2 linked regions of the Oreochromis niloticus genome follow. The protein of the gene in region 2 interacts with the protein of the main gene of each other region in a biochemical or structural test. Links are inferred from orthologs where the notes say so. Each region holds a gene or a part of one and is shown on either strand. Other genes may lie near its edges. The genes, in order: E3 ubiquitin-protein ligase pellino homolog 1 and irak4.

The links.
Region 1: of the proteins of irak4 (region 2) and E3 ubiquitin-protein ligase pellino homolog 1, one has a biochemical effect on the other in vitro, tested with the Homo sapiens proteins (4 studies listed by BioGRID and IntAct). The link is inferred for Oreochromis niloticus from reciprocal best matches to the Homo sapiens genes IRAK4 and PELI1.

Annotation. Positions count from the first base shown.
Region 1 is NC_031971.2:1,152,822-1,168,897, reverse strand, and holds the start of E3 ubiquitin-protein ligase pellino homolog 1, read left to right. Parts: upstream 1-8,010; 5' UTR 8,011-8,236; intron 8,237-16,076. Other genes in the region: uncharacterized protein LOC109202627, read left to right, coding at 2,490-3,254. UniProt on the Homo sapiens protein: E3 ubiquitin ligase catalyzing the covalent attachment of ubiquitin moieties onto substrate proteins. Involved in the TLR and IL-1 signaling pathways via interaction with the complex containing IRAK kinases and TRAF6.
Region 2 is NC_031972.2:47,512,364-47,527,806, forward strand, and holds the start of irak4 (interleukin-1 receptor-associated kinase 4), read right to left. Parts: upstream 6,251-15,443; 5' UTR 6,024-6,250; coding exon 5,863-6,023; intron 5,761-5,862; coding exon 5,615-5,760; intron 5,279-5,614; coding exon 5,129-5,278; intron 4,681-5,128; coding exon 4,520-4,680; intron 4,441-4,519; coding exon 4,376-4,440; intron 4,282-4,375; coding exon 4,167-4,281; intron 4,066-4,166; coding exon 3,956-4,065; intron 3,465-3,955; coding exon 3,278-3,464; intron 2,820-3,277; coding exon 2,757-2,819; intron 2,453-2,756; coding exon 2,288-2,452; coding exon of another isoform or gene 2,261-2,287; exon of another isoform or gene 1,316-2,260; intron 743-1,315; coding exon 680-742; 3' UTR 1-679.

The sequences.
Region 1 (16,076 bases), on a different chromosome or scaffold from region 2:
TCTGAAATCCCCATGGTGTTGATTCAAAATGTGCTCTGGCACAATCATAGACATGGGTTGCTACTGAAAACAAGAGTTGTGCCAAAAAGTGATCGCCTGCCAAAAACTGATTTCCAGTATTTGGCAAAAACGAGTTGCTCATATTTAAACTTGCTATAAATAACTTGTTGGTCTATAATATGTAAAACATATGTCAAAAGTAACCCTCATGAATGACATCAAGTAATCTTGTGCCACAAACAACATTCCTGTAACAAGAAGCCAATCAGTTTTTTGCAGTGACTTTTATATATCCTTTATTTATCCAGTTAAAAAAAATCTCGTTGACATTAAAAATTTATTTTTTTAAGAGTAATCTGGCCAAGAGTACAGCAACAAATATAACAATAGTTCTGTAAACATATTTTAAGTGGACAAAAAGGACGGGATTGGTTAAGTACAATAAGACAGAGTTATAAGGATACTTGAAAAACAGGTAATTTGTAAATTTTATATATAGGGGAGAGTGAGGTAAGATGAGCCAGTGGGTAAGTTGAACCACCCCTTGTATCTAGGTAACTGTGTTCATGTTTTGTCATGTGACCATAAATCCAGGAAGCACTCATCATTTCCATCCTGCTATATTAAAGAGGAGCACATTGGAGAAGGGGTAAGTCTGTATTACACAAAAAAATGTTTTCTGCTTGTCAAAGTAAAATTTCTGCATATCAGGTAAATTGACTGTAATATTAAAACAAATGTATCTGTGTCTAAAATGATATATTATACATGTTGGTGGGTTTCTAAAATATAATATCATCTGAAGAAGTTTTCTAAAGATTAGCCTAAATTGCTAAACTAGCCCATTTTTTTCAAAATGGTGGCTATGGGGCAAAGTGAGCCAAAGGCTATGGGGTAAATTGATCCAATGGTTCAACCTACCCCACCATAAGGCACTGAAATTTATTTAAGGCTCTGACTTATTAAATAGTATTTTAGTTCAGTATACTGAACCCTTTTGTTGTATTTGTCATATGTTAACTATTATAGAAAAGATATCATGCCAAGGACCTACAGACGGAAGACCAGCTGGGGCTCAACACCCCTGGAGGAGATTGAAAGGGCAGCGAGTGAAGTCAAGGGAGGAAAGTCCATAAGATCAGTGGCTAAAGAAAGACAAATTGACAGGTCAACACTCAGGAGATATATTAAAAAGAGGGACACACAGGAGGTCAGATCGGTTGGCTATAGTGGAACAGCTTCAGCAAAGAGAGTCTTCTCTGAGGAGGTGGAGAAGGAGCTAGCAGAGCATATCAAGAAGCTTGCAGAGCAGTTCCATGGCATTTCCCCAAAGAAATGCCGTGAACTGGCATTAGAATTGGCAGGCAGAAACAACATTCCTACTCCCAGCAACTGGACAGAGAAAGGTTTAGCCAGTAGGAAGTGCAAGAAACAACATTTCAGTAGGTTGGCACAGACTAATGTATTTTGTGTAGTTTACTACTTTACCATTACATTTTTTAGGTAAAGAATGGTTCAAGAATTTTTTGGCACGCCACCATCTCTCTTGCCGTATGCCTGAGGCAACATCTTTGGGAAGAGCTACAGCCTTCAATAAGACTACAGTTGGGGAGTTCTTTGACAATCTGGCTAAAGTGATCGACAGGTAACAGAAGTTATCTAATTGAAAACATTAATAACTATTTATGACAACTACAAACAACAGTTAAGTGAATAAATATGCGTACTCTCAGCTAACATTTTTTGCATTACTTAAAAATTTAACTAATCATCATTGCTCTTTTTTTGTTTGACAGGTATAAATTCCCCCCAAACATGATTTTTAATGTTGACGAAACAGGTGTAACAACAGTACAGACACCAAAGCAGGTAGTGGCAGAAAAAGGAAAAAAACAAGTGGGCTCCATCACATCTGCTGAAAGAGGCGAACTGGTGACTGTAGTCTGTGCTGTCAATGCGACTGGTAACGCAGTCCCTCCGATGTTTATCTTCCCAAGAGTTAGATACAAAGACCACTTCATTGCAGGAGCACCTCCGGGATCAATTGGTACCACTACAAGATCAGGCTGGATCAGTGAAGATGTCTTTGTTGTGTTCCTTGAACATCTGGTTCAGCAGACCAAGTGCTCCCCTGACCTGCCACTGCTGCTAATCATGGATAACCATGAAGCCCACATTTCACTGAAGGCTTTGGACATAGCAAAAACAAGTGGTATTGTAATGCTCACAATTCCACCCCACACTTCCCAGGCCTTCAGCCTCTGGATAAGTGTGTGTATGGTCCATTTAAAACCTATTACAACAGAGCTCTTGATGGCTGGATGAGGTCCAACCCAGGCAAAACTGCCAGCATATACCAAATTGCTGGTTGTGTGAATGATGCTTTCATGTCAGCAATGACACCATGAAATATCTCCTCGGGATTTAGAGCCACTGGGATTTTCCCTTACAACAGAGATATCTTCTCTGATGCAGAGTTTGAGCCATCCATGGTGTCAGACAGGCCCAACCTGGAGCAGCAGCCTGCTGCTGAAGGTGTTGCACCTGTGGTTTCAGCCTCTCTTTCTGCTGAGCTACCTTCACCAGACCCTGTACATGCATGTGGTTCACGAAGTGACCCCAACCATGCTCGATATGTGTCTCCCACTGATATTCTACCCTTACCCAAAAGTCAGCAGCCCAGGAAACAAACAAATCGAAAGCGTGTGAAGACACGAATCCTGACTGATACACCTGAAAAGCAGGCAATTGAGAGAGCCCATGAAGAAAGGACAAATAAACTGAAAGGCAAAAAAGAAATAATCCACAAAAAGCAAGGAATGTGGAAGAGGAAACAAACCCAGACAAAAATTGCAGTGGAAAGCAGCTCTGAGGAGAGTGATGTTCCCATCCCATTTGAAGACACTTCTGAGTATGAGAGTTCCAGCGATGAAAGAAGTGAACCAGATGTCTCAGACCTGGTAGTTGGTGACTTTGTCATCGTAAGATTTGCATCCAAATCCAGGAGCCACCATTACATTGGCCTGGTTGACAGCTTTGCAGACAACGAAGTGAGTGCCAGATTTCTCAGAAGAATCCGAGGGATCACTAGCAGTAAGAAACCCACGTTTGTGTTCAAGGAAAATGATGAGGCATCTTTCCCACGCAAGGATGTGCTGAAGAAGCTACCTCAACCTCAACAGGCTGGAGGAACTGCAAGGAGGGAGCAACAGTTCATATTCCCCTGCAACCTTGATCATTGGAATATTGAATAGTTCTTTTGAATAAATGGTTTTGAACTGGTGGTTTGTTTAGAAACCACCAGTTTCCAGGTTTGTTCTCACAGGTTTACAACTGTTAAAATGGTTTGTTTTCACAATATGATCAGTTTTACATTTTAAAAACTACATGGTCAGTTTGCCCCAAGATGGCTCAGTTTACCCACTGACTAGGTTCAATTTACCCCTAATCTGGGGCAAGTTGAGCCAAAGGAGCATTTTTTTTTAATAGGTCATTATTTTGGGCAGCGTCATCAGACATAGATTCTGATCATTACATTTGAAAGGAGACATCCTGAAATAAAGGAATATGTTATCATTCTATTTCTGTGTCATTTTTTTCTCACATCCAGGGCAACATGAGTAAAAAGTGGCTCATCTTACCTCACTCTCCCCTAACCCTCTCGTAAACCCTGTTCACCGAAGTCTATTTACCAACATACGTTAAGATATTACACATAAAAAAAAAAACACACGGAAACATTGGAAATCAGTTTTTGGCAGGCGAACACTTTTTGGCACGACACCTGTCCGCGCTAGGGGCTGAACCATTTGTTAATGATGGAGGGGTGGGGGATAACACTATGCAATATATTTAGTTTTAGAATTTATATTTAGTGTTAACTGTAGTTAATGTTATCTTATTTTAATAAACAACACTGTCATATGCAAAACTAGGGTGGCAAGACATCATTTTTGTGTGGCACATGCCACCCCATGCCGCAGGGTTTGTACTCAACTATCTGAGACTGGCTGTGAGTCATCGACCTGCATCTTTAATAAGCATTAACGTCACATCTCCACATGTTGTCTTATCACGTTATTCTACCGTATTTCTTAATCTACGGCAAGGAACATAATACATGTTCAACGGATTAAAGCATATTGGTGTTTTTAAAAACAACTGCCTGACTAAAGACTCAAACCGTGAAACTTCAGAGGATGGAACATTAAAGTGATATTAACTTTAAATAAATATATATGTGTCTCGTTATTCTAGCGACGGAAGTTGTGTTTGAGTTTAATTAATCCAAATTTTAATTGTTTCGATGAATTTAAATTTACCCAGCAAGTTGAACGACGAGTAAATGATACATTAAGTAATAAAAAGTACACGTGTTCCGATTCTTTATGCGATATAAACCACACCGACAATTAACATCCAAACGCCATAAGCAAGCTAATAAAAACAAAGCACTCGAGTCTGAGCTGACCTGCGAGTCGAAAAACGTCTTCTTCTGGTTATCCCTGGATGAATGAATGAAAACGCGGTCAAGAAGCTGGGTGTGGGAAAACATGTGCCGCCAAAAGCGTTAGAACAAGGAAATGCGGAAACATGATGTGTCGGAACTGAAGAATCATATTGTCGCATTATGACTTGAAACGTCGAATTAGTTCGAGTGCTTCCCCCGCTTCCAACCCACTCAAGGATTGTGCTAATTAGTCTAAGGATTGTAACATGCAGTCCTATTAAGCATTCTCATTAAGTTCTTCTTCTTTTAACGAGAACTTGGCAGAGATGATGAGCCCCTTAGATTGGTGAGAAACCAGAAGATACAAATATGGAATGACATTTAGGTTATAACAAATGCGCGAGCAAAATAATAATAATAATAATAATGATCTGAGCAAATAATTTCATTTCACAGGCGCAATTAAATTCCTCGCGCCTAAATTCAACAACGTATGAAGTTATGTGGAGGCGGAGCCCAAAGTAGGACGGGGTCCTTATGTGATTGCTTACTTTGATGGACACTTTCGGTTTTTGGCTTAATCTGAGTTACTCTTATACAGCAAAAGAAGCGCTGTTTTAAACCGTACTTGTTTACAATTTGAAAAATAAAGTTTGCCAAATTAATTATCAACAGTTATTGCTTGCTGTGCAGCAGTGGAAATACACATAACTGTCACTGGATTACTTTAATGCTGAAGAACCAGAGGCATGTTTTATAGGATCTGCAGTGCTGTCCCATTAATCTGCTGTACAGTATTGCACAGCTTCTATGATTTAAAAAAAGAACTCATAACGAGGACCAGGAAAGGAAGAGTGCATCAGAATCTGGCAATTATACATTTGGCCAAAATCCAGACAGTTAAACCAGCCAGTAGAAAGTTGCTCAGTCTGCATCAACAGTGAATTTTGGAGGTGGGAACATGATGGTGTGTGTCTGTTTTTCAGCATATGGTACTGGCACACTTCAAATAATTGAAGGAAGGATGAATGGAAAAACGTACCAAAACATTCTTGATAAAAATCTGCTGCCAGATGATGCCATGGTGCATTTCTTTCAAGTTCATCCCAAAATGTGTTATATTTTTAAAGGAAGTACTGTCAAGAGAAATTGAACCACACACTTGAGTTGGTTAGAAATATGGTGTAGTATAATATTATATAATAAGCTCAAGTCATTCATATCCAGTTATTTACAAAGCAATAGCTATTATTCATTTCCTACTCCTGCATGAGGTTTTTGTAATCAAAGAAAACATCAGTCATGCTATCCTTATGTGATTTTCACAGCACCACAATGTTTTAAGGATGCTTAAAAAGAGCAAAAGAAATAAAAATGTTATTACAATTATCTGTCAGTTGTTTAAATAGAAGTGGAAAAAGCAGAAGAAGACAAAAGTAAAGATCAAAGCTGCTAATGACACCCACCACAGTCATGTCATCAGTGAACTTGATGATGTGGTTCTAACTGTGCATTGCTGCACAGTCGTGAGTCAGCAGAGTGAACAGCAGTGGGCTGAGCACACAGCCCTGAGGGGCTCCAGTGCTCAGTGTGGTGGTGTTGAGATGCTGTTACCGATCTGGACTGTCTGAGGTCTCGCCGTCAGAAAGTCCAGGAGTGGGGGTGGACTTCCTCACCAACACATCATTCTGAGCGTCAAACCGTGGATAGAAGTTGTTCAGTGCATCTGGTAGGGAGGCGTCACCCTGGCAGGCAGGTGTCGTCTTTCTGTAGTTGGTGATGGCATGGATGCCGTGCCACATGCGCTGCATGTTGCCAGGTTGAGTTGAGCATATAGCATATAAAAATGTATAGCATATAAAATTCATATCTAAAGATTATCAGCCTTGTCTTCAATCAGATGATTTAGACCTTGACAGGCTGAACTGTGACGTCAGAGTTTAATCTTCCTCCATAGACTAAACATTGAATTCAGTCTCCTGCAATTCAGTGTTTAGTCTACACAGTGGCACACTGCAGTTAGTAATGTCTGACATGACTGTTAGTGTATGCTATTGTTCCCGTTGTTTGGGAAACGCTTTCCACCTTGGGATCCTAAATACAAATAAAAGAAAAGGCTGTAAAAATCAGATCAAATACTCTCAGTAAAGGAACATGACTCATTTTCCAGGAACTAAGATCACTTCAAAGTTGGACAGTGCTCTTCTTCCATTACCAGCACAGCATAGCGTTTTACCTTAACCGGAAATAACGCTTCTAGGCAAGAGCCTTGTTACAGCTGTTCTGTTTATCCAGTACTTGTTATTTTTGTCTGTTGTCTGTCTCTATGTGTTAGCCTGCCTCAAACTGGCATAAGAAAATAGACGGATCGATGTTTTACGTATAATATCTGATTTAAATTGTGTTGTGACATGACTGGAAAAAATACCAAAAAAAAAAAAAAAAAAAAAAAAAATCAACACTATTTACATAAAAAAAACTACCAAGCTAACTTTTTGAAGTACATTTAGGAACAGGATGAAGCTTGGACCTCTACATCTTTGGGGACGGTTAATCAAAATGAACCAGTTGGTAACTCACTCTTGTCTTTCAAAAGTCTGAGCAGCAGCCTAATGTACCAAAATGCATAACAGACACGTCGGGGTTTAAACAGACATTATTAACATTTTACATACATATTATCCGCCTAGCTTACTCATTTCCGGCGATTAAGGACCCTGGAATGTACTTGACACGTATTTTGCTCACTACCGACTTCTTGGCTTTAAATATATTATCTCATGCGCAGGATGTTTTATGCTTGTGTGCTGTCATCTGTGCTATGTGGTTTACATTCTTCTATAGTTACATTTCCTGTCTTTCATATTTATATTTTAATTGATTGTTACTAAACCATTGCCCCCAGGATTAATAAGTATTCAGATTCTGATTCAGATTTTGATTTGAATTTAGCTGAAAGACCTAATGTGAGGAAACTTTTGACTAACTAAAGAGAATGTCTTATTGGGGTAACAGCTGCAGCAAGTCATAAACTTAGGTTTATGACAATCATAGTTGTTTGTGCACGGCTACACACGCAGACCACAGAGAAAACTGGAAGTACAGGTTTTGTATTTTCATAGTAAAACAAGTGTTAATGGTGCAAACATTTCAGCATCTCAAATAACCATGTTCTCTTAATTAACTATGAGGAAAAACTAAAAACTAAAAGTAGACATGAAAATCATTTTAGTTAACTAAAATAAAAATAAAAACTGGAAAAAAAAATCTATGCGTTAGCCCTGCGACAGTCTGGCGAACTGTTCAGGGTGTACCCCGCTTCTTGCCTAAGAGAGCTGGAATAGCAACCCTTAATAACAGAATGGATGGATGGAAAAAAACTGAATCAATTTAATAAACTTAGAAAACTAAAGAAATGTATATGTATATGTAATTTCGAGTTTATAAGACAAACTAATGGCATTTACTTCAGCTTGAAAACAATTTGGTATTTGAGTAAGTATTGAGTATTTTGGTATTCAAGTAAGTTACGTTGTTTTACTCTGAAATGTGAACCGGAAATCAGTAGCCTTGATAGCTAAGAGGCACAGTTGAGTTTGAAAACGGAGAAGCCAGCGTTCGCTCAGTGTGGGTTTGTTAGGAACTATATCGATAAAACGTCGCCGAACACCTGGTAAAAACTGAAGTAACTTTGACATTTTATGGTCTGAAACGGCTAACAGCGTTTGTTCCCTGGAACAAAGACATCCGGGACATTCGACTGCTTTAAGACGAACAGTAACTTCGGTGAGTTAATTGTCTAAGGAGTTGATTCTTTTCGTCATTGTTACCGCCACTAACGCCGACTAAGTCTTCTGCAGTCAGTGTTAACCTTATGCTAAATAAGTACCTAATGAACTAACACATTCTCTCCTTTTTCTCAAGTTTTACGATCGAAAAATGCTAACTAGCTACGAGTTACCGTAATGACGTTATATAGGGCAACAACAGTGTACCCAATTTCTTAAGCCATTCAAGGTTTAGGTTTAGGTGTAAGCGCTAAATAACCATATACGCGTTTTTTTTTTTCACTGACAAAATCCCAAACACAAGTTTTTTGGGGGGGTTTCTCGTGAAAATGTGTGAGTTTGGGTTAACGTAAATCAAATTTTATCGACGCTTTTTTATGGTCGTATATGGTATTAAATTTCGTAATAAATTACGGTGACACGTCTTTTTCGTAGTGACTTGTAAAGTGGAGTTGTTCTATGCATGTCATAAACGACTCTGAAGTGTCTGCAGACTCCAGTTACATAGCTTCTTTTCTTTAATAGTGTGTCGTACTGATTTGTCCACAATAGAGTGGCCACAAATAGAACTCCAGATATTTAATTAAAATGTACACACAACACTGCTATATTCTACAGCTCATTGAATTCAGGATTTGAAGTTATTATTTACATCAGGTAAAAAAGGTAGTGTGTGTATATTTAGTGTCTTAAACAGGGCTCTGTCCGTGGTGGTACTCCGTCCTGTCCTGTAGCCCAGCTGGCCTCCTTTGTCCTGGCCACACAGACTGATTAGCATTCACCATCCTACCAGAGCATCTGTCTCCACAGACACTGCTTTTGTTCCCCATTTAAATTTTGAAACTTTGTCCTTTTTGTCCATCTGTCCCCTCATATTAAAAGCCTACAGATGTGTCAGCCCATCTTCAAAGACGAATGTTGATCTAAAGCCTGGAAAGTTTTGAGTTCTAGGTGAGAGTTGCACAAGAGGATAAACAGAAGTGATGCTTACAGTTTACGTAAATTGAGATATTTTATTATCAGAATATCACCATTTATAGCTGATTTACATACTTTAACGTTTCTGTGGCTATTGTTCAAACTGGTATTCACAAACAAAAGAGCAGAAAAATTATGATATTAATCCTGAGGACGAATCTGTGAGAGAACTCTGAAATGCTAAGGATGGTAGTTGTCCCAACTTTGTCGCCAGAGAGCCAATCAACACCCAGATAATGAAACAGAAAAGCCATGTCTTTGACTTTCTACCACTAGAGTGAGGAGATCTCTGAAAATGTTGACTTTATTTTTGGCCAGTCCCCACTTTTTCACACCCCTCTTAGGTATATGCAGAACATGCCTGCTCGTGTTCTGGAGGCACCTCTGCGGTATGTGTGTGGAGTGGGAGGTATTTCTTCTTCAGAGGTTATGTGGAATCATCACAGGGTGTTATAGGTCTTGTACCTTGTAGCTGGTCTGGTTTGGTAAAAATCCAACACCTCCGCCCTCCTGTTATTTCTTTAACATTATTGTACATCAGAGCTTATCCTGTTGTGTCCATCTTTTGCTAACTAACTTGTATAGTACCCACAAGTCTTGGCTGACATTTCCTTTGAGCTTTAGGTTAGGATAACTTAATCTTTCATTTCAGCTCAATAATAGTTACAGATCTCAGAGTTTTAGAAATACTGGTTGGATGTTTCTTTCTGAATTTTAACATAGATCTATATCTTCAACTTTTTTCCAAGTAAACTCATAATTTTCTAGCATAGTTCAAAATTTCAAATAGATTTATTTTTAGAGTTTCATCATATACATGTAAGCCATAGAAGGGCTCCAACTCTCATAGCCATGATAGTTCTTTGCACTTTAGGATTGTCTTAATCCTAATAAAGGTTTTATCCCATGCTGGCATTCTGGCCTGGCTAAATAAGTGTGAGCCATCTGTGATTGGTGAATATTCTGCAGTTTTGTGGACTGTAAACACCTTACTTTCACAGTTCACAGTAATGAAACAATATAGTGGTCAGATAGAGGTACCCGTTTGTGTCAGGTGTTATTCTGTTGTCTTCTGTTTTTTTTCATAGTGGATAATGAAAAAAAGTGACTAACAGCTCAATGTACAGTGCTGTGGAAAAGTATTTTCCCTGTTTATGATGTCTTTCTTTTTTATTTTTGGACTTTTTGGCACATGATGTAAAATAATAAACAAAGATGGCATGAGAATTACAAATTGCAATTTGTAAATCATGATTTTATTTATTAATGGTCAGAGGGCCCGGTGGCGCCAGTGTTCGGCAGCCTCGCCTCTGTCAGTGCGCCCCAGGGTGGCTGTAGCTACAATGTAGCTTGCCATCACCAGTGTGTGAATGTGTGTGTGAATGGGTGGATGTCTGGATATGTAAAGCGCTTTGGGGTCCTTAGGGACTAGTAAGGCGCTATATAAATACAGGCCATTTACCATTTACCATTCAATGGGGGGAAAAAAGGCTGTTTAGACATACCTGGCCCGATTTGAAAATGAATTTCCCCCTGAACCTGCTGGTGTGGCACTTTTGACACCAAGAACTGCAAATGTTTGCATGGGTCTTTCACATCACTGTAGAGGAAGTGTTGTTAGTTCAAACCCAGTTGAAATGGAATGTTAACTTTCCAAAAAGTTCACCTTCTGCCTCCTCAGTCTACAGGGTATTTTCTGCTTTGGTTATCATTAAGATGTTTTTTTGGCAAATGTGACATGACCCTTTTGTACTTGTACTCTCCTATAGATTAGGGCTGTTCGATATAACGATATATATCGGATGACGATATAAAAACGTCGATCGTTTAATTTTACGCAATCGTTTGTTTTGTGGTGTCGCAAAATAAACTGTTTACGGCAATATTTTTTCATCGTTTTGATGGTCACTGTAGTGGCTATATTAATTTCTTAAAGTTCTTTCGTTCTCCTATATTTTATATAACCACACTACGGACGGACAAGCGCCTGTTTTTATGCGTTGTCGTTAGCAACAACGACGGTAACAGCATCGCCTGTTCGCTTGTTTGTGTTCCACATAAACCTTTCACAATAAAGCTCAAGATCCTGTTGAGACTTTTCAAAATAAACTGAATCACGTGAAAGAGCAGATTATTTACGGATGAGAAGTAAAAAAGAGCCGCCAGGTGTTAAAAAATAAACCTTAGACTAAAACGTTAGAACAGGCTTTTCCCTGCAGCACGCCGTGTAATAAATATTCACAAAGAAAACGGCGGCCGTTACAACTTATGTCTAAAAATGTATCGTTTCATGCATCGATTAAAACACTCGACTCCAGCTACATGATGCGCAGCTGGAAACACTTCCCGCAAGACGAGCTGCCCGAGATTCACAGAATTTACAGAAAGTGTTACGTTTTTGTGATTTATATCGTTATCGGGACGATAGAATTCTTATATCGGGATATGAGATTTTGGTCATTTCGCACAGCCCTACTATAGATGTTATTTTTTTGTTGCCTGCATTTCTTTAGATGATGTTCTGGTTTCTTCTTTGACCTCCTGGGATGAGTTGTCAATGAATGTTTTGAGTGTTTTTGGTAGGCCCGGTACTCCTGGGAAGGTTCCCCACTGTTGGAAGTTTTCTCTGTTTGTGGGAAATGGCTTACACCATGGATCAATGGAATCTTAAAGCCTTAGAAATGGTTGGTAAACCTTTTCTGGCTGGTGGATGTCAGTGACTGTGTTTGTTTCTTTAGACTGTGAGATGTTGCTTTTTGAAGTCTTTTTAGTCTACTCCACTTTGTAGGACAGATTCTATTTAAGTGATATCTTAATTTAACAGATCTGGCAGTAATCTGGCCCACGTGTGGCTAGTGGAATTGAGCTTGACTTTCCAAAAAAAGTATGTTTAATCGCAGATAATTTATAATTTGTTTTGTAAACATATTTATTGAATTTTGTATTTATAAACATCCAACACTTTAAACACCTTGAACATATGGCAGTAAGAAAGCACTAAGAACACAAGACATTCAAAAAAAAAATATATATATATATATATATATATTAATTGGGGTGCAACGATATTCGTATTGATATTGAACCGTTCGATACAGTGCTTTCGGTTCGGTACGCATATGTATCGAACAATACAACATTTTTTATTTATTTTATCAACTTTTCTTCTGACGATGCTGTCTGTGTTGAGCGCTCAGTGGATCTGCGTTCGACTACTCCACCTAGGCTGCACTGTCATGTGCAGATCCACTGAGTGTAGTGCAAGCTAGCAAGACAGAAGCTAAGCTCGTTGCAACATGGCAACTGCCTCAACGCTACCCGAAATTGAACCTCCCCCACCCTCATTCAGATCTGGCGTTTGGAACTATCTTGGTTTTCATGTGAAGCATGACCCTGATGGTAAGCGCGTCATGGACAAAAGTAAAACAGTATGTCGGATGTGCCACGCAATGCTCAATTTGTGGGAACTAGTGCGTTAGCGCAGTTAGCTTGTTAACGTGTTGACACCGTCCAGCCCCAAGCACGGGGCGATCCGCGGTAACTTGTTAACGGAGATTTGCCGCGTTATGGCGTTAATGTCATTTTAACGAGATTAACGCTGACCGCACTAGTGGGAACACAACGAATATGACTGCACATTTACGCCGACATCATCCTAGTGCAAAGACAAGTGGAAGCAGCCAAAAACAACTACTGCTACAAACTTTACCCGAGTCATTTAGACAGCCGTTAGCACATGATTCTCCTTATGGGGACCTGATATGTTTAATATGCTGCTGAGAGTATACCCCAGAAGAAGCGTATAGTATAGCTTTTATTTTGGAAAGAGCCATTTCTCTGTAATAAACTCTCTTTTCCAAAGATGAGTGATTTCTCGATCAGATAGATTTATTTATTTTTTTGTTGTTTCAGCAACATTAAATTTAAAAACTGTACTTTTGAGTTAAAATATATATTTATAATTTTAATAAATGATAAATTAAAAAGGCATGAACATTTTTTTGTATCGAAAAAATATCGAACCGTGTCACCAAAGTATCGAACCGAACCGTGAATTTTGTGTATCGTTGCACCCCTAATATTAATAATACTAAGGGAAATTTAAAAAATATAAAATAAAATCCAAAAAAAAGAGTACAGGATAGTCTGTACTGTATACATTCGTAAATTTAGTATTTAGCATATTTTCATTACATTATTTTCTCACCAGTTCCTCAACGTCCCCAGTCTTAAACAAGGACAGCTCCTCATATTTTGCTTTGTCTTGAATCGTCTTTAATAACCTCTCTCTTTAGTTCTCCAATTTTAGAGTCCAATTCATTCATTGTCTGAATTTATTAAATTTAGAACTGGTGAAGCTTATCATTTGTTCTCTAATATATGCTTTAAATGCTTCCCATCTGGTGGTTGCATTTGTTTGATTTTTATTTATTGAGAAGTAGAGATCAATGTGTTCTCCTAGGAATTTTATAAAGTCAGAATCTTGTAACCATTTAGGGTGTAAACGCCAGTTAAAACAGTGTCTGTTCACTTTGTACAACATTATAAAATAGCGAGACTGGGGCATGATCTGACAGAACAATACTATCATAAATACAGTCAGTTACACTAGGTAACAAAGATGAGGAAATAAGGAAATAATCTATTCGAGAGTGGGTTTTAAAAGTTGAAGAGTAGCATGAGTATTCCCTTTTGGTAGGATTTTGAGTCCTCCAGGGGTCACAGAGATTCAAATCTTTTATATATTGAAGTAGTTTCTTTCTTGTTTGAGAATGTGAGGTATCTGTCCCTGACGAGCGAGCAATCTTTGTGTCTAAGGTACAATTTAAGTCACCTGCCAATATTATCTTACCAGGAAGGACGGCCAATAACAAAAACAAATTCTCAAAGAGCAATGGGTTGTCATCATTGGGGCCGTAGAAATTAAACAAATTTATATTTTCTTTCAAGAAGGTACCCTGGACCACCAAAAATCTAAGCGCTCTGTCATAAATGGTGTTATTTACCTGAAAGGGCACTGAGTTATGAATTAACACCATAACCCCTCTAGAATGAGAGAGGAAACAGGACGCTAGTACTTTGCCTGGCCATCTCCTTTGTACTTTCACCAAGTCGTTTCTGAGTAGATGGGTCTCCTGGATTAAAAAACAATTGAGGACTTCAGATGCTTAAGCCTGGTAATAACCTGCTTTAGCTTAGTCAATTTTACCATCCCCCCCTTTACCATTGTATCACTTAGTATCTTTTTTTTTTTTTTTTTTCCCTTTTTAAAGTTGAGAGAGATGTTTTTGATTTCCTATGTGTGTTACATAGGGGAAGCACCAGTAAAAAGCAACATCTTTTGAGAAGTATTGAAAAAACAAACAAAAAACTGAAAATCTGCCATAAACAAATCCCCTTAGCTGTCACCCTGAACCAGACAGCCCTCCCTCCCTCTCCCTGACTTTCGGGTGGAGTTACGTGCACACACCGATCCAGTGTAAATAAGGGAGCAGTTAGACCAAACAATCTTAAAAGAACAAAATATAACTAACAAGTTCCATATGTCTCCCGGCGATAGTAAATATTTTCACGAACATGTGTATATCTGAAATGTTCATTAGAGTCTCTCCTGCAGCTTATAACACAAGTGAAGAACCCATTACTTCTGGGGACAAAAGAGCCAAAAAACCCCACCACCACCACCAACAACAACAACAAAAAAAAGGGCATAGAAAAGTCATGTGCCAACCGAATAGTGAAGTCCCAAACCCTCAGCAAATATGTTATTGGCTCATAATCCCCATGATAAGCAATTTTAGCTGATACTGATGGATATTCAAGAAGATTTTAAGCCTTGGACAAACTTCTCAGCCTCTGCTGGGGTTTCAAACTCTCGTATCTGTCTGTCAGATGGCACTCGGAGCTTGGCTGGATAAAGTATTCCGTAGCGTATGTTCATCAATCTCAGCTGTTGTTTTACCCTGTTGAAACACCTCCTTCTCCGGTGTAGCTCTGCCGATAGATCTGGGAAAAACAAAATCTCCCTGCCGCCACAGGTAACTTTGCCTTTGGCCCTGGCTGCTCACATCACTTGGACTTTATCCTGAAAGTTTAAAAACTTTGCGATGAGGACTCGCGGAGTGTTGGGTCGATTCGGATGTGTCCTGCTGGGCAGCCTGTGTGCTCTTTCAATGTAGAGTGGCGTTGGAAATGTTTCAGGTCCCAGCGCCTCAGGGAGCCGTCTTACAGGAAAGCCACCACATCATTTCCTTCCATTTTCTCCGGCATGTTAACTAGTCGCAAGTTGGATCGGCGAGAGCAGTTTTCGAGCTCGTCGTGTTTATTTGTGAGGAGAGATACTTGTTTAACAAGCGCATCAGACTTGTTTTTCTCTGAGTTAACGGTGTCTTCTACATTGCTAATTTGCACTTCTGCTTCATCCATGCATGCCGAGAAGTCCTGCACGTCCCTCTTAACGTCCTGTATGGCTTTCAGCACCACATCAATTTTTGTGGAAAAGTCATTCCTGATCTCGTTGAGAATCTGAATGACATCCATGTTGTGGGCCGTTCCAGTATTCTCGCCTACGCGTGGCTCAGGACAAGCATCATCTGCTGAGTTAGCTTGACTACTAGCATACGATACGTCGTCGTCCTCATTTGGAGAAGGGTTAGTTTTAACTTTATTTAGTGCCTTCTTCGCTGGTATATTTTTGCGTGAAATTATGCTAAATGGCCACAGGTGGTAAATTTTACTGTTCGTGGCGTAAAAGTATAATTCTAAGGATTTTACACCAGGAGCTCACCAAAAGCCGTATGTTCAGTTCAGCGCCATAGCCGTGCCCCGATAATTTATAATTTAATTCGGTGGCTATTTGT
Region 2 (15,443 bases):
ACATATTGTAGCTGTGTGATGCTCTTTGATTAAGAAACAGTCTGGTCTGTTGAGGTAGATGTCCACGTCGGTAAGGATCACAGTGAAAGAACTGGGGCTTCCAGAAATATTACATCCACACATTTCAGATTTCACAAGGAAGGAAGCTTTTCCAGCTTTTCTGGTTTCCATAATGACAGGGAATGCCACGCTACTGGATGGGAAAGGGAATAATATAATTACCTTGATCAAAATGTTGCCACATCCACTGATGTACTGATTAATATTAGGCAAACTACTTCGCTCACCTCATGTTTGAAGGGAATATCCCTTTATGTTCATACAGTGTCATTATAATAGAAAAAAAATCATGTTTGGTCTTATGTTTTCTTATAATTCTTTTAAAGAAGAAAAATAAAATATTTAAATCACGTTTTCTTTCACTTTATTTCTTTAATTGTTCGTAATAAATACATTTAACAGTGGCGAGAATAACCGCAGTCAGCATTCTGAAAGAGTTCGGCCATTAGATTTGTTTAAAAGCCTCACAGAAATGTATTCAGCAGTATTTTTACAGCAATTGCACACATAAGCTACAAGCCTTTAAAAAAAACATAGTTAAAGCTTTGCAGTGCAGTAATTCTTCTGTCAGTCTGCAGTGTGATTTGAAGCAAGCTCAGAATTCCCACGATGCTTTGCTTCACGCCTTTCTATCAAGATCCAGTGCAATGTTTTTGACGACTCCGTGAATCTCTGCGTAAACCTGTTCAGACACACAACAATCATAACTACATCATGAAGTTAGCAAACATATATCGTAGCAACAATATGACATTTTCCTTTAGTTCAGCAAGACGAGAGTGCAGTCTCCATTCTCTTACTGCCTGCATTTGCTCCCTAAATCCCCTAAATAATATGTTTGTTATTACATAGACTCCCCATACACTTTATTAGGTACACCTTGCTATATCAAGTTGGGCCCCCTTTTGCCTTTAGAACTGCTTTAATTCGTCGCAGCACAGATTAAACACAGTGTTGGAAACATTCCTCGGACATTTTGGTTAATATAGCGTCACACAGATTTGTCAGGATGTGGTGGATAGGGAGATTTGCATCATGCATTCATGATGCAAATCTCCCTTTCTATCACGTCCCAAAGATGCTCTATTAAGGCTAAGATCTGGTGACTGTGGAGGCCATTCAATTACAGTGAACTCGTCATGTTCAGGAAACCAGTCTGAGACGATCTGAGCTTTGTGACATGGTGTGTTACCTTGCTGGAAGCAGTCATTAAAATGTCGGTTTACTTTGGTCATGGTCAACAACAACACTCAGGTGGGCTGTGGTGGTTAAGCAATGCTCAGTTTGTATTAGGGGTCCAAAGTGTGATAAGACAATGTCCCCCACACCATGACACCAACAGCAGCCTGAGGTTTTGGTAAACTGCTGGACTTTCATGCTGTTTATGCCAAATTCTGATCTTATCATCTAAATGTCAGCAGAAATCAAGACTTATTAGACCGGGCAATGTTTTTCCAATGTTCTGTTGTCCGAGTGAAGTGTGGCCTCGGATTTCTGCTGCTCATCCCATCTGCTTTAAGGTTCAACATCTTGTGCATTCAGAGATGCTCTGCTGCATACCTTGTTAAGATAACGAGTACTGTTGCCTTCCTATCAGCTTGAAACAGTCTGCCCATTTTCCTTTGATCTCTGGCATGTTCACCCTCAAAACTGCCGCTCACTGGATATGTTATGTGGGAAAATACCAGCAGCTCCTGAAATAACCAGAGCAGCCTGTCTGGCACCATCTACACCACGGTCAAAGCCACTTAAATCACCTTTACTTCCCATTCTGATGCTTGCTTTAAACTTCAGCAGGTTATCATTCAATTCAGTTCAACTCTGTTCTATTTACATAGCACCAAATCGCAACAAAAGTCACCTCGAGGTGCTTAAATAACCACAACCATGCCTACATGGCAGTCAGTTGCTGCCATGTGATTGGCCGTTTAGATATTAGTGTTAATAAGCAGTTAAACAGGTGTATTTAATGAAGTGTCTGGTGAATGTATTTTTGCTAATAAATGCCATTAAAAGAAAACCCAAACTATGACCCGACTCAGTTGTTAATGATCCTCTTTTCTTTTCAAAAACTAAAACAAAAAAAATTCCCTTTGTGGGATTTCCTTATTCAGCCTGGTCCAGCTGAGGCTCGTAACACAGGCAAATAGCTCAAGGTGCAAAGCTGTGCAGATGCCAACACAGTAGCTTGACCTATACATTAAATCTGCTGGGATCTTTCCTGTACCTGTCTGATGACAGGCCGTCTGTTTTTCCTGTCATGGAGGCAGTTGCATGCCAAGGAGTAAATACTCTCCACCTGGCTCAGCTCCCAGTCTTTCATTTTTTTGTCCACAAAATCCTCCAGAGTCAGCTCCTCATCTTCATCGTCTATGTCATACCTCATCTCCATCTAGGAAATAAAGTAGGGAACACACACACACACACACACACAGTAATGTAACTGTCATCTTCTGCAAGCATGTTCCATAGATCCTCACTTGTATATTAAATATCAAATGCGGTATCAGCACATGATGAGCACAGATGAAACTTTTAAAGGTGAAAGGTTTGAACTTTTTTGTTTAAATCCTTAACAAATTGACTATTAACCGATAATGTTCCCTGACTTATTAAATGCAAAGCCTTTAATCAGCCGTAAGCACAAAATGTAGCTTGCCAGATAACACGATGAAAGCCTCTTTTGTGTAACTTACCAAGAACTGTGGCTCCCGGTTTTCATCAACTGGCGGGAGTCCAGACAATATTTCTAACAACACCTGTAGATGGCAGAGAGACGGGGTTAATCGCACGGCTCTGGGCAACAGGAAAACTTTATTACCCTAATATGTGGCGGGTAACATCGCCAACACTGCAGTATTCCCACAGCATGTGGGAATGCATATGCTTCGTGGCAAGGTCAGACATTTTAATAAAGCACTGGTCCCAGAAATCATCTAATATGTTTGACAATTATAGCTACTAATACACATAGCTGTGTCCCACAACTGATTTGGGATAACGACAGATGATAAATAACAATAGAGCTCTTTTTTCACGAATAGGGAAAAAAGTATACTGCAACGCTTGTGTCCTGCAGGTATATATGTGTCAGTAGTTTGGGAGAACCTTGGAGTCAAGGAAAGTGCTGAGTACTGCTCTACATTTTACATTACAGCTGCAGTTTCTCCAGCCCTATCTGTGTGTATCTGTGTGTGTGTGTCTGAAGAAAGCCTACCACTCCAAAACTGAAGACATCGGATTTTGGTGTGATCTCTCCTCTTAGCGCCTCCGGTGCCATGTACGCACGGGTACCCACGATCCTCTCAGTCATCATGGTCGTCGATGTTCGCTTGGCCGATGCTCTCGTCAGACCAAAGTCTGAGATTTTGGCCACAAATTGTTCATCTAACAGAATGTTCGCACTAACAGGGAAGAAATACGAGCCAGAGTGAGCAACAAAACATCCCGTCATGTGTCATGTAAAATGTATATTTCTACATTTAGGGAAATGTGATTTTACTGGCTTCCTTGCCAAGAGTTAAACTAAAACATCAATACCTCTTGCATGATTTTGCTCATGAGCCTCTATAAAACTCACTAAATTACCAAACTCTACCTTTCGTGCCCAACCTGTACTGTTGCATTACTAATTACTCATGATCTTCATGATCTTCACCTTTTTCTAATTTTTATTTAGCTCTAAAGAGAACCTTGTCATATGATCTGCAGAAAACCATATGGGTAAGCTTTCTCTACATCCCCAGTCTTTTTTTGGTTCTTTGTCTAACACAGTAATGTGATGTAATGTGTATAGTGTTCCATAAAGGTACGGGACATCAAAAACGGGACATTTTCTCTCTTCTTTGTGGGATATCTCTAAACCAATAACGATGAAAGCTTTCGCTCTATGAACCTTTTAACATCTCTGTGGACGTGATGGTTGGAGTGCAGATACTCCAAACCTTTGGCTGTTCCTTCTGCTATCAAGCACCTGTGGTGCCAGGAAAGTGGAGGACTTCCTTCCTAAATGAACAAAAAAAAAAAAAGCATGTAATTAAATCCCTTTCTGAAAGCACTGGGACTGAAAAGCAGACTGTTTGTGTAGAAGAGTAAATAATGCTTACAAAGCAAGCCAGTCGGTCTAATAAAGATCCATTGGCCATGAAAGCGTACACTAAACACAGGTGCTGTTCGTCACAGGAAAATCCAACCATGTCAACCAAGTTCTCGTGTTTCAACCTGTGGAACAAATGCTGTTATTAAACCACACCTGCATTTGTAAATACACGTATGTTAAATATGCTTCTTCACCTTCTTCCTGAGGGAAACTTACACTTTCAGAGTCTGGATCTCTTGGTTGAACTGATCTTGCAACTTGTCCAGTGGCATGTCGTCCACCTAAATAATACAATATCTCAAATGCAATTAACAGCAGTACACAGAGGCATGTGGTTCTGTTAAAAATATTTTCACTTACTGGATTGAGTTTTTTCACTGCAACTGGTTTGTCATCCAGGAGACCTTTGTATACCGTCCCAAAGCCTCCCTCTCCAATTCGGCTGCCACCAGCTGACGTGGACCGGTCATCAAAGTTGCCTGTGATCCTCATCAGGTCACTATATAAGAAACTGGAGAAGCCTAAGGGGGGAGACGCAGTAAACTGCCTCATTAACTTCTCTGATCAAGAGCCCGATGCTGCCACCTGCTGTCGATTACATAAAATCACATCTTTACAAAGAAGCAGCATCACTTACTGAAATCAAAATATCATCTTTGTTGACTACCCTAAACCACTATAGAGCAGCTTTGTTTACAGTGCTCTAATGTAATCAAGTAGATTTATTGCACTACTTTAGTGCTGCAGTGGCAAATTTACATGGTGCTGAGAAAGATATGACATTTTAATTCACTGAAACCAGGCTTTTCAGCAGATAATGAAAGATGAACATTATCTACTTAAAAACATCACATGAATATGACTCATAAGTGACTGTGTTAATAAATGTCATACGTGTCATATGTTCAATGTCATATGTTCAATCAAGATATGAACATAAAATTAATACATAATCAAAAAGTGAAAGACCTGTGTGTATTGGTTCGGTGTTCTCCTCTGGCGTCCGAAGCTGCAGCACAGTGGTGACAGGCTGCTGCACATCTCTCTCTTCCAGCAGTCTGGTTGAAGCAGTGCTTCGGGTTTTTAAAGGAGTCAGCTGTGTCTCCAATGGACTGGACTCTTCAAATGTGTGAGGACAAAAACAAAAAATGATCAGAATAAATGATTGGGTTTTACATCCTGTATCAGTGCGGTTTGACTGTTTCCCCTTATGTTCCAGGCATCACACCTTTAATATAACATAACAGATGTTTACTCATCCACTACCCAAAAAGTTCAGAAGTTTTTTGCTACATCTCTTATTGCAATTTCATAACTCGTGGTTAACATCTTATTTTCTTACAAGAATTAAAAAAAGGGGGGATACTGGGAAAACGATTTGGGGTAAGTTAAGATTCAAAGGTTTATTCTACCTGTTGCGTGTGGTTACTATTTAATGGCTTTTAAAAGTCATACCGGGTAGCAGAACATTGGCAGCAGCCAGTAACTCGTGACTCTTCAAAATGTCCACAAGTTCACCCACTGTGCTCTTGGTGGTCCCCCAGTCATTGAGCAGCTCCATTGTGGGACTGCGACCCTGTGCAACAAGACCCTCAAATCTCCTTAAAAGACAGCGGCACATATTCAGTAAACAATAAGTAAACAATCAGTGTGATTTCATTCAGTGAAAAGCAAGCACGTCAGAAAGTTTGCCCCCATCTTACCTGACATGAAGCTGGGAATACCTCGGCTCCCCGCTCGGTTTCTGTATATCTACAAGAACTTCTTTCCACCTGTCCTGAGGATCCAAAAAATCGGACAACTTGCGACGTAAACAATAACCGAGGTTACGAATATAAGTAGCGGAAGTTACTGAACTATCCATTCTGCGGGGAACTTGTGACCAAACCCGAGATTGGGTTTTATCTAACAGTCATGTTGTCATGATCTTAGACCTGAAGACGTTAATTATACTCCATCGAGTGGATTCTTTAATCCAGAAAAATCGCAAACAGTTATGTTTTGCTCACATACCTAAAAAAACAGTGTTTTCCGATATTGAGCAACTTCCCCAAACGTAACCAGCAGGGCTGGCCCACAAAAGGTCTCCGCCTACAAAGCGGAAACGCAAAGAGTGAGTGCTGTGGTATAATACAGTCTGTGCTGGCTGTTCTTACCTGTAAGCGGGCACAACAAACTAACAATAAACCTCCGTGTGTTTATTTATATAATTATCTTTTTGGTAACACAAGAGCACAAGAGCAGAAAGGGAGACAGCTGTCGTGTGATGGTGGTTTACAGTGTCACAGTGCCCTCTAGTGGATAATGGAAATAAAGCAAATCTTCCATTCGGGGCTGTTTGTGTATGGCTAGTGCTGTTGCCTTCCAGCAAGAACACCCTGGGTTTGAGTCCACCACTCGGCTGGGCCTTTCCTGTGTTGAGTTTGCATGGTGTCTGCGTGGGTGCTCTGCCTTCCAGAGACATGCAGTTAGTGGTGCCCGTTGGTGTGAATGGTTGCCTGTTTTAGTCCTGCGTCAGGTTGGCGAGCTGCTCAGGGTGTAAACTGTCTCTCACCCAAATGATATCTGGGATAGGCAGAAAAGGATGGATGGAATGAATAACAGAGAGACCTTAGAACTGTGATTGAATTCATAATAATTGCTGCGTATATCAAATATTATAATACTTGTATGCATATAATTTAAATGCACAAAAACAGAAGAAAATAGAAAATAGTTCCCTTAACATCTTCTCAATCTCGATCTTCATCTTCTCTTATTAAACTCTAGGTTTAACGCATGCATTCATTTGGAAATGTGATCATATAGCTATATAAGTAAGTATTATGAAAAAACAAACACACATCTTTTTTGTACCTATTTGTGTATGGTGAATACATGATTTAAACACTCAACTGGACATTTATGAACTACTATGTTGCTACATCAACACACAATGTAAACCAAAGGGTGTCATTTTTGCAGGATGTTAGGTATCGATCAGCCTATCCATCACCCATAAGGCACTTTTTTTTTCACTGGTGTTTAAATCACAGTCACAGTCCAGCACAGACACCCCCCCCCCGCCCCCACCCCACCCCAAATAAACTCCCCAAATGTGTTGCAGGACAAACTGATTTTTTTTTCTTGGAAACTTTAAAACTACATCAAGGCGGTGACCTCGATCGAGCCATCTCATGTCAAACAAATTTGGCAAACAGCTGGAGGCATTTGGTCTAAACTGCTTGGAGTACCTTTTTTGTTGTTTCTGTGTTACAAAAAAGCTGGATCTGTTTATGGTGTGTTAGTTGCTATTTGCACTGTATTTGATGAACTGTGATCAGTTCCATGTGCAAATGGAAGGCTTAGCTGTATTACTGGATGGGATGGATTACTGGGTGGAGTGATGAAGTGCAAGATGCGTGTGTGAGAGACATAAATTTCAGACAAAAAACCCACACACAAGATTAAAACTTTTTTTGCATCAGAAAAGTCTTACAATAGCATGTTTTAAATGCTAATATGAACAAGTGAAATTAAAATCCATTTGATATTTATTGAGCTATTAACATCAGCTCAACCCATCAAACAAACCATCCACAGAGACCTGCTGCTAGCACTGTGCACACACCAAACTGCATCAAAGCAAAAATTCAAGTGTGCTTGAGTTTTGATCTTATTTGATATTAAACTTTCAGTCATGCATGGGCACAGTTCTCACTCCTTCTCTGAACGATTGTTCTTACATTAAAAAATATTGCGTTCAACTTTTGTTTATTAAATTATATTCAAATGCAAACTTCAAAAATGTCATCTCAATCTACCCAAAGTCATCCAACACCTATTTTAAGTAAGACATAAATAATGTTTGTATGTAAGGCTATTACTTTTAGCATGGAGCTTGTGAAACCAGTGACCCCGAGCACATGGCCATCACTGCACCAACAGACTGAACTCACAACACACGCTAACACAATTCTTGAATGCTGCATGTGATTTTGATGAGTCCCGATGATGACAAGCAACATTTGCATGATTTTACACAGTTGCGAGTCATTTCACTATGTCTCTGTGAAAGGAGCATACAAGAGATGATCTAAGCAGAGAGAGCCAACTGTAACCCACAGGCCTGTTATGATTATATTTTTATAGGCTTGGCTGATGACACCACGAGTGATACTCTCAATAAAAGTTAGTGACTCATAAACTTAAAAACAACTTCTATGACAATGCATACAGATGGTCTGCATTACATGAAAAGGAGACTTCACCACATAAATAACCAAAGTGCAATTAAGTTATTTTGTGAAGGAAAAGCAATGAGAGCCATTACTGCAATTGTGGTGCCCAAAAGTGTGTATTCTCTTTATGCTTGAGGTTTGATGCCATCTTTTGCAAATACATAATACATGAGACCAACTGGAGCTCGTCAGAAGTTGTTTATTATTAAATGACAGGTGAGGACATTTGAGTACCTCTGCATAATGACATGGGACTTCATTAGAGCAATTGTATGTTGTTAGTAGGAGTTGGAGTGTATCTGTACCTGTCTTCTTTCTGTGTATGTGTGCTAACCTGGGGTGCGAACACAAGCCAGCGGTGCCCAAGAGATCATCAAAGAAGACGCTTGTTTGACGAGGACCTGAGCTGCCGAGAGCTCAGGTAAATTCCCTGTGTGTGCTCCTGGTGAAGGATAGCTCTCACACCTGTGCGCAGGAGATTCTTTGAAGTGCCTGATCATCTCGTGCCTCCTCTAACCCGACTGACAGGATCCAAACACTGCATGCACGCATCACACGCAGAGGCAGGGAGTGAAGCCAGAGCCTCTGCTCTCCTGTGGCGAGTGGAAGGATGAAGGGAGAAGAAAATAAAGAGAGCTGGAAAGGGAGAGTCTGACGCTAAAGATGAGGAGAAGTATAAAAGTTCAAAAAACAACAACAACACAAAAAAGGAAAACTAACAGCCAGCACAGGGGAGAAGGCTCTCGATAATTAGAGTGCAGAGGGAAAGAGATGGAGAAGAGGATCTGATAGAAGCGAAGGAGAGGTGGAGATGTGAGGGAGAGCAGAAAGCGAGGTCCCCTGTAGTTTGGGAACAAGGGCAGAGGTGGTAGACGTGCCAAAGTGGCTTAAATCAGCGGGTGGAAACGCTGCAGGTGCAGGAAGTGATCTGAGGAAGTCATGTGATATCTAGGAAACTTTAATGGTAAACAAGGACACATGAAATGAGAAGCTGTGCTAGCCACGGATGCTATATGGTCCGTTGTGATTGCATAACAGGCAGAATTACGTCTATTTCCCAAATGACCTTGATGGTGATGGGGTTACATGTGGGATATTTTTTTTGCAGCAGACGTTATTGTTTCATAGCTTTTAGGAGTCTGGAAAACTCTTATTAACTGTTCAACTTAATAAGTTGAACAGTTAAAATTGTTAAAATTATTGAAATGTTTTGGAAAAAATTTTGAGAAATTTCACCCTCAGAATAGCAGATGTAGCCTTTATATAATAAAAAAAAAAATCCCATTAGAATATTATTTTCAAAGGACTGTGATATAGTTCAAAACTAAAGCAGATAGGGAATAACAATAAAACACAATAACAGGGGACATAAAAGGCACAATTCTCAAATAATAATGAGTATTTTTTTTAAAACCATTAAAACCATTTGGTGCTTGTTGCAAATGATCCAATATACAAATATACCATTTTAAAACATGTGTTCAGCATTATGCATCACAACTGTACCACAGTGAAAATGTGTGTTTTATTAAGAGGGAATGTGTTTTTAAAATTTTGCAAGTAACGTGAATAAAATCTGCAAATTTCAAAAAATTAAAATCAGTTGTATAGTTAAATTTTAATGCATGTCTGGAACACATGATGGAACACGTTGGAACAGGAAGGGGCCGTCCCAAAACTGTTCCCACAAAGTTGGGAGCATGAAATAGTTCAAAATATCTCAGTATGCTGAAGCATTAAGAGTTCATTTAACTGGAACTAAGGTGCCGACCCATTTCCTGAAAAACACCTAATGTCCCCTTTCACCACACTTCACACTTGGAAAGTGTAGCCAGATAAGCATGGTTCTCCTGGCAACCTATGAACTTAGACTGATTCATCAGATTGCCAGATGGAAAAGTGGGATTTGTCACTCCAGAGAACATGTCTCTACTCCTCTAGAGTCCAGTGTCTCAGGGTGCTTTACATGACAACATCCAGTGCTTTGCATTGTCCTTGGTGATGTAAGGCTTGGAAACAGCTGATTGGCCATGAAAACTCATACCATGAAGCTCTCTATGCACTGTTCTTGAGCTGATCTGAAGGCCACATGAAGTTTGGAGGTCTGTAACGACTGACTGTGCAGACATTTGGTGACCTCTGCACACTATGTACCTCAGCATCTGCTGATCCTGCTCTGTGATTTCATGTGTCCTGCCACTTCACGGCTGAGTTGCTGCTGTTACCATTAAGTTCCACTTTACTATAGTACCACTATAACTGTGGAATGTTTAACAGCGAGGAAATTTCACAACTGGCATTCTATCACGGTACCATACTGGAATTCCCTGAGCTCCTGAGAGTGACCCATTCTTTCACAAATGTTTGTAGAAGCAGTCTGCATGCCTGGCTGCTTGACTATATATACCTGTGCCCATGGAAGTGATTGAAACACCTGAACTGAATAATTTGGAAGAGTGAACGAATCCTTTTGGCGGTATAGGAGTTTTTGCACCTCAAAGGAAAGCTGCAACACAATTGTGGCAATGATCGAATGTACACTGACAGAACCAGAGGGCAAGTTTGGAAGTAAATGGAGATGCTATGATGCTATGATGACATGTGAGAAATTGACAGTACAGCAGTGAAGGCATTCTTTGACACCTTCTTAAGAGATCACATCTTCAAATCAGATAGCTGAATAATTAGAAGCTTCCGCCATGGTTTGCTGTTAACAGTCAGGATGTATATTGAATCCAACTGAGAAATGTTTCCATGCATAGAAGTGAAGGGGGAATATCACTGGTCTCTTGAGCAAATGTCTCGGCTTATTCCAAATGCTTGCTCCAAACGGCACGTTTAACAAAGACTCTAGTAGCAGTAAAGGCAAAGATTAAACAACAAGTGCAGCAAAAATAGATGATCGAACAGAAGAACGACAAAAATCTGAATCCAACACCTTTGTTATTCTCTCTGCCCTGTGCATGTCACATTTCAGGTTGAACACTTTTTCATTTGCTGAACTGTTTATACCTAAAAAGAGACAGCAGCACAAAACCCTCCCTGATGCATGTGTGCATGCAGTGCTTTAAGAAATTATGGGCTTCAGACTGATACATCCCACTTTTTAGTTAAAATAAAAGAGAGAGAGAGACTGATTTATGCTCATAAATCAGCACCAAAGATGCAGTGTGTACAGTCTGTTGAAATTAATTAGCAGTCTTGTCGGGGAGTTTAACAGTTCACCCAACTCGTTGGAGGTCTCCCATAGTTGAATTCAAATGAGCCAAATGAATGGGGAAGTCCAGAGAAGAGCAACGGGGGGTATGGGCACAGCATCGGGGTCAAATGGAAGAGCCTCAATGTATCTCTGAATGTATACTGCCTGTGCATACAAGGAGTTTAGCAGTGTGCCACTGATAGACACTGAGAATTCACTGCAGGAGGTCTTCTCTCAAACTGGAACACCATTGATCCGATTTAGTGCGCACTGAGAAAAACCCCAGGGACTGAACAACATTTTAATAGCCTTTTGTGTCAGAAGGTGTTTTATGGCTATGAATTTTAAATGTTTCTAGCTTTAATGTTGATGAGACCCATCTCTGTGTTGCATGTTTAATCTTGGTCAGATGTGTGCACACAACAATACTGTAATGGCCCATTAGACACATAGAGGGCAGCCTGCAACTACTAATTAATGACTAGTATGGTAAATATTAGCACGTCCTTAAATATGCATAAACCTAGAATATGGGGCATGGTTGAAATCTCTCTCTCTCTCTAGCACACGCACACATGCACACACACAAAGAAACCCGGTCTTTTTTCCTCTGCAGCGTATAATAGTTCACATAATTTAAGGCAATACGGCTTGAAGTCAACCAGAAATTAAAGTAATTTTTGTGTTTCAAAGTATCCTTTCATTTCTGCCTTGTGGGCTGAAGAATTTGCAGGGAAAGAGCAGCTGTTTGCCTGTCCAATTTCCTCTTGGCCTACACACACACACACACAAGCACACACTCACACATCCACAGCTCATCAGGAGTTTACTTCTAAGGAATGATCTGGCGGCATCTTGAGTGGCAGCTCACCACTGCGTTGCACTCGAGTGGTCATCGACACTGGGTGATTGCGGGAGGTTGCCCTCTCATATTTCCTCAAAAATCTCTGGCTGCGATCCCAAAATGTTCTGTCCGACCAAGCACACCAGCATGAGAACAAAAAGAACAGCCTCCCCTGGCATCTCCACCACCACTCCAAGGCTACTAGTTAGCACGGTGTATTCTGGGGCATCTGGCAAAATGCCAGGAGTCATGCAATGCCATGTCTGAATTTAATACAGCATGACACATAGAAACAGACCATTAGGTGTATTTATTAATATAAGCATACCTGTTTTATTTTGTTGTTGTTTTTTAAATTGAAGAGTGGAAATAAAAAACAGTAAGATTTTTTATAGAAATTTGCTCACAAATTTTATTTTGTCTCGATAAAGACAAAGGACACAAATCTAAAAAAAATCTCCGGATGTAAATACTTTTTTTATCTTTGGCTGTGACGTTGTTTAGTCAACATTAGCGATAGTGTTAACCACCACAGCATTTTGCTAGATAACAGACTGTGTGGCAGTTAAGATACTGTAGGTTTAAACTTTTACACTTTTGCTTTGCTCACTGTATCAGTGCACTAGTTTCACTCAGATTAACTCATACAGTACTCTCAGCAGCTAATTTGGCCTTGAAGATGTAAAAATGTAGCAATAAACTAGAAAAATTGTTGTGAATTGTGTATGAGTTACATGCTATATGTTGCACTGCACAAACATGTAAGTTTTTTTTACACTTACTGGGTAGTAAGTGTTAAAAAAGCTGTGACCACATGAGGTGGTGTATCTGGAGCATGTTTCTATTAATATTGTGACATTGTGGCAGATCACTGTCCTTTATTAAGACTGGTTTCGCACCCCTACAACAGGAATGGTTTGATAGGTCTACTGACATTTTTTTCCCTCCTAATCTTTTCAGGCTGTTTATTAATTAGTTTTGCATTTTGCTATGATCAGTGTCACTACTGGTAGCATGGGGAGATACTTGGAGCCTGCAGAAGTTGCACAGGTAGTCCAGCTCCACCAGGATGGCACATGAATTTGTATTATTACTAGAAGGTTTGCTGTGTCTCCCAGCAAAGAGCATGGAGAAGATTCCTGGAGCCAGGCATTTAGTCTAGGAGAGCTGGAGAGGGCCGTTGAGATTCTTAACCCATCAGCAGGAGCGGTATCTGCTCCTTTGTGCAAGGAGGAACAGGATGAGGACTGCCAGAGCTACAAAATGAGCCCCAGCAGAGCAGTGGTGTGAATGTCTCCAACCAAACAATCAGAAAACAGACTTTGTGAGGGTGGCCTCAGCACCCGATGTCCTCTAGTGGGCCTTGTGCTCTCTGCCCTGCACTATGGAACACGACTGGCATTTGCAATAGAATACCAGATTTAGCAGGTCTACTACTGGTGCTCTGTGCTTTTCACAGATGAGATCAGGTTCACTCTGAGCACATGAGAGATATGAAATGCTCTGGAGAAGCTTAGGAGAAGGTTATTCTGCCTATAACATCCTTCTGCATGACTGGTTGGGTGGCACGTCAGTGACAGTCTGGGGAGGGACACACAGACTTCTACAGGCTAGGCGAAAGCAGTAAGTATCTGACCCATCTTTGGAGCCATTGTCAGACCCTACACTGGTCCAGTGGGTCCTGGATTCTTCCACAATGCCTGGCTGCTTGTGATGAGACTATGTAGACAGTTCCTGGATAAGGAATTCATTTCTGCTGCATAATTTTTCACTTTGATTTTTGGGATATCTTTGAATTCAGCCCTCTGAAGGTTAAAAATATCATTTCCATCAAATGATGCAGCATCCTTTCATTCCTAACACATTACCCAAACCACATTAGTGTGCATATCCAACATTATTTTTCCCTACTGATATCTGATGTGTTTTTAAAGTGCTGCTTTATTTATTTTTTTGTACAACATTGAATTGAAGCGACATCAATATCTCAATTTTCTGACCATTTTTCCTTTACTGGAAACATCAGACTAACACTTATTAGTCCTAAGTGACATTTGTAGCTGTCAGAGTGTCTGATCAAGCTGACCCACTGTGTCACAGCTAACATTTGCTCTCAAAGTCTGAAAATTGAAAATGGCACTAAAGACTATAGACTAAAGGTACTACGGTTTGTTTCCCCTCAGTCATCAGTCCATCTGAAGAGTATATAGTAAATCTGGCTCCAATTAAAGCAAAAAAATCAAAAATCAAAAATCTGTATCTGGCTTCAGTAACCACTTATTATTACAATTATTACAATTTCAAACCATTTTAATATTGCTATGCAACAGTTTTTTCCTGATATTTACTATTCTTCATTCTTAACAGTAACTGTTTTATAATAATAGCTTCCACATAGTTTTGTATGTACAAAACGCCTTCACTTCCCTGTGGTCTGAGCTCTGGACTGGCTCTCGTTGAGTCTATAACCTCCATTGTTTGATTCCCGATTTCTGTGGGGGATCCTTTTGTATTGGTTTGCCAAGATATAAGTGGGGCGTAATTCATGGGAATAGACGGTGAGGGGGAGGGCTGCTGCAGGTCAGTAGTAACCCTGAATACTGAAAAGGCATTCTGATCCTCTTGAAGCAAATCATTGATGGTAGGTAACCCCAGCCACTGATGCTTTGCTCCAGTGAGGGTGGAGGTGAAAGGAGTCCGCGAAGCCCTTTGACATCCCAGCAAGGACCCTGTAATCCAACGCTCGTCAGTGCTAATCTCTGTAGCTTTGCAGCTACAAAGCGAACAGCATCTTATGTGTTTGACTTGCAAATGTTTCGAGTAACAACCATAATGCGCAGATGACCAGAGGTGGAAATTGCTTAATTGTCTTTGGATTCTGACAGAAAAATGACGAGTTTCCTCCTTGACAATGGCAGGTTGATTGACTGCTGCTAAGAAGTCAAGGGTCAACTCACTGAATTGGTCTGCTTTCATTCTTACTTGTTCCATCCAAGTTTGCATGAGAAAGTCTGAAAAAAC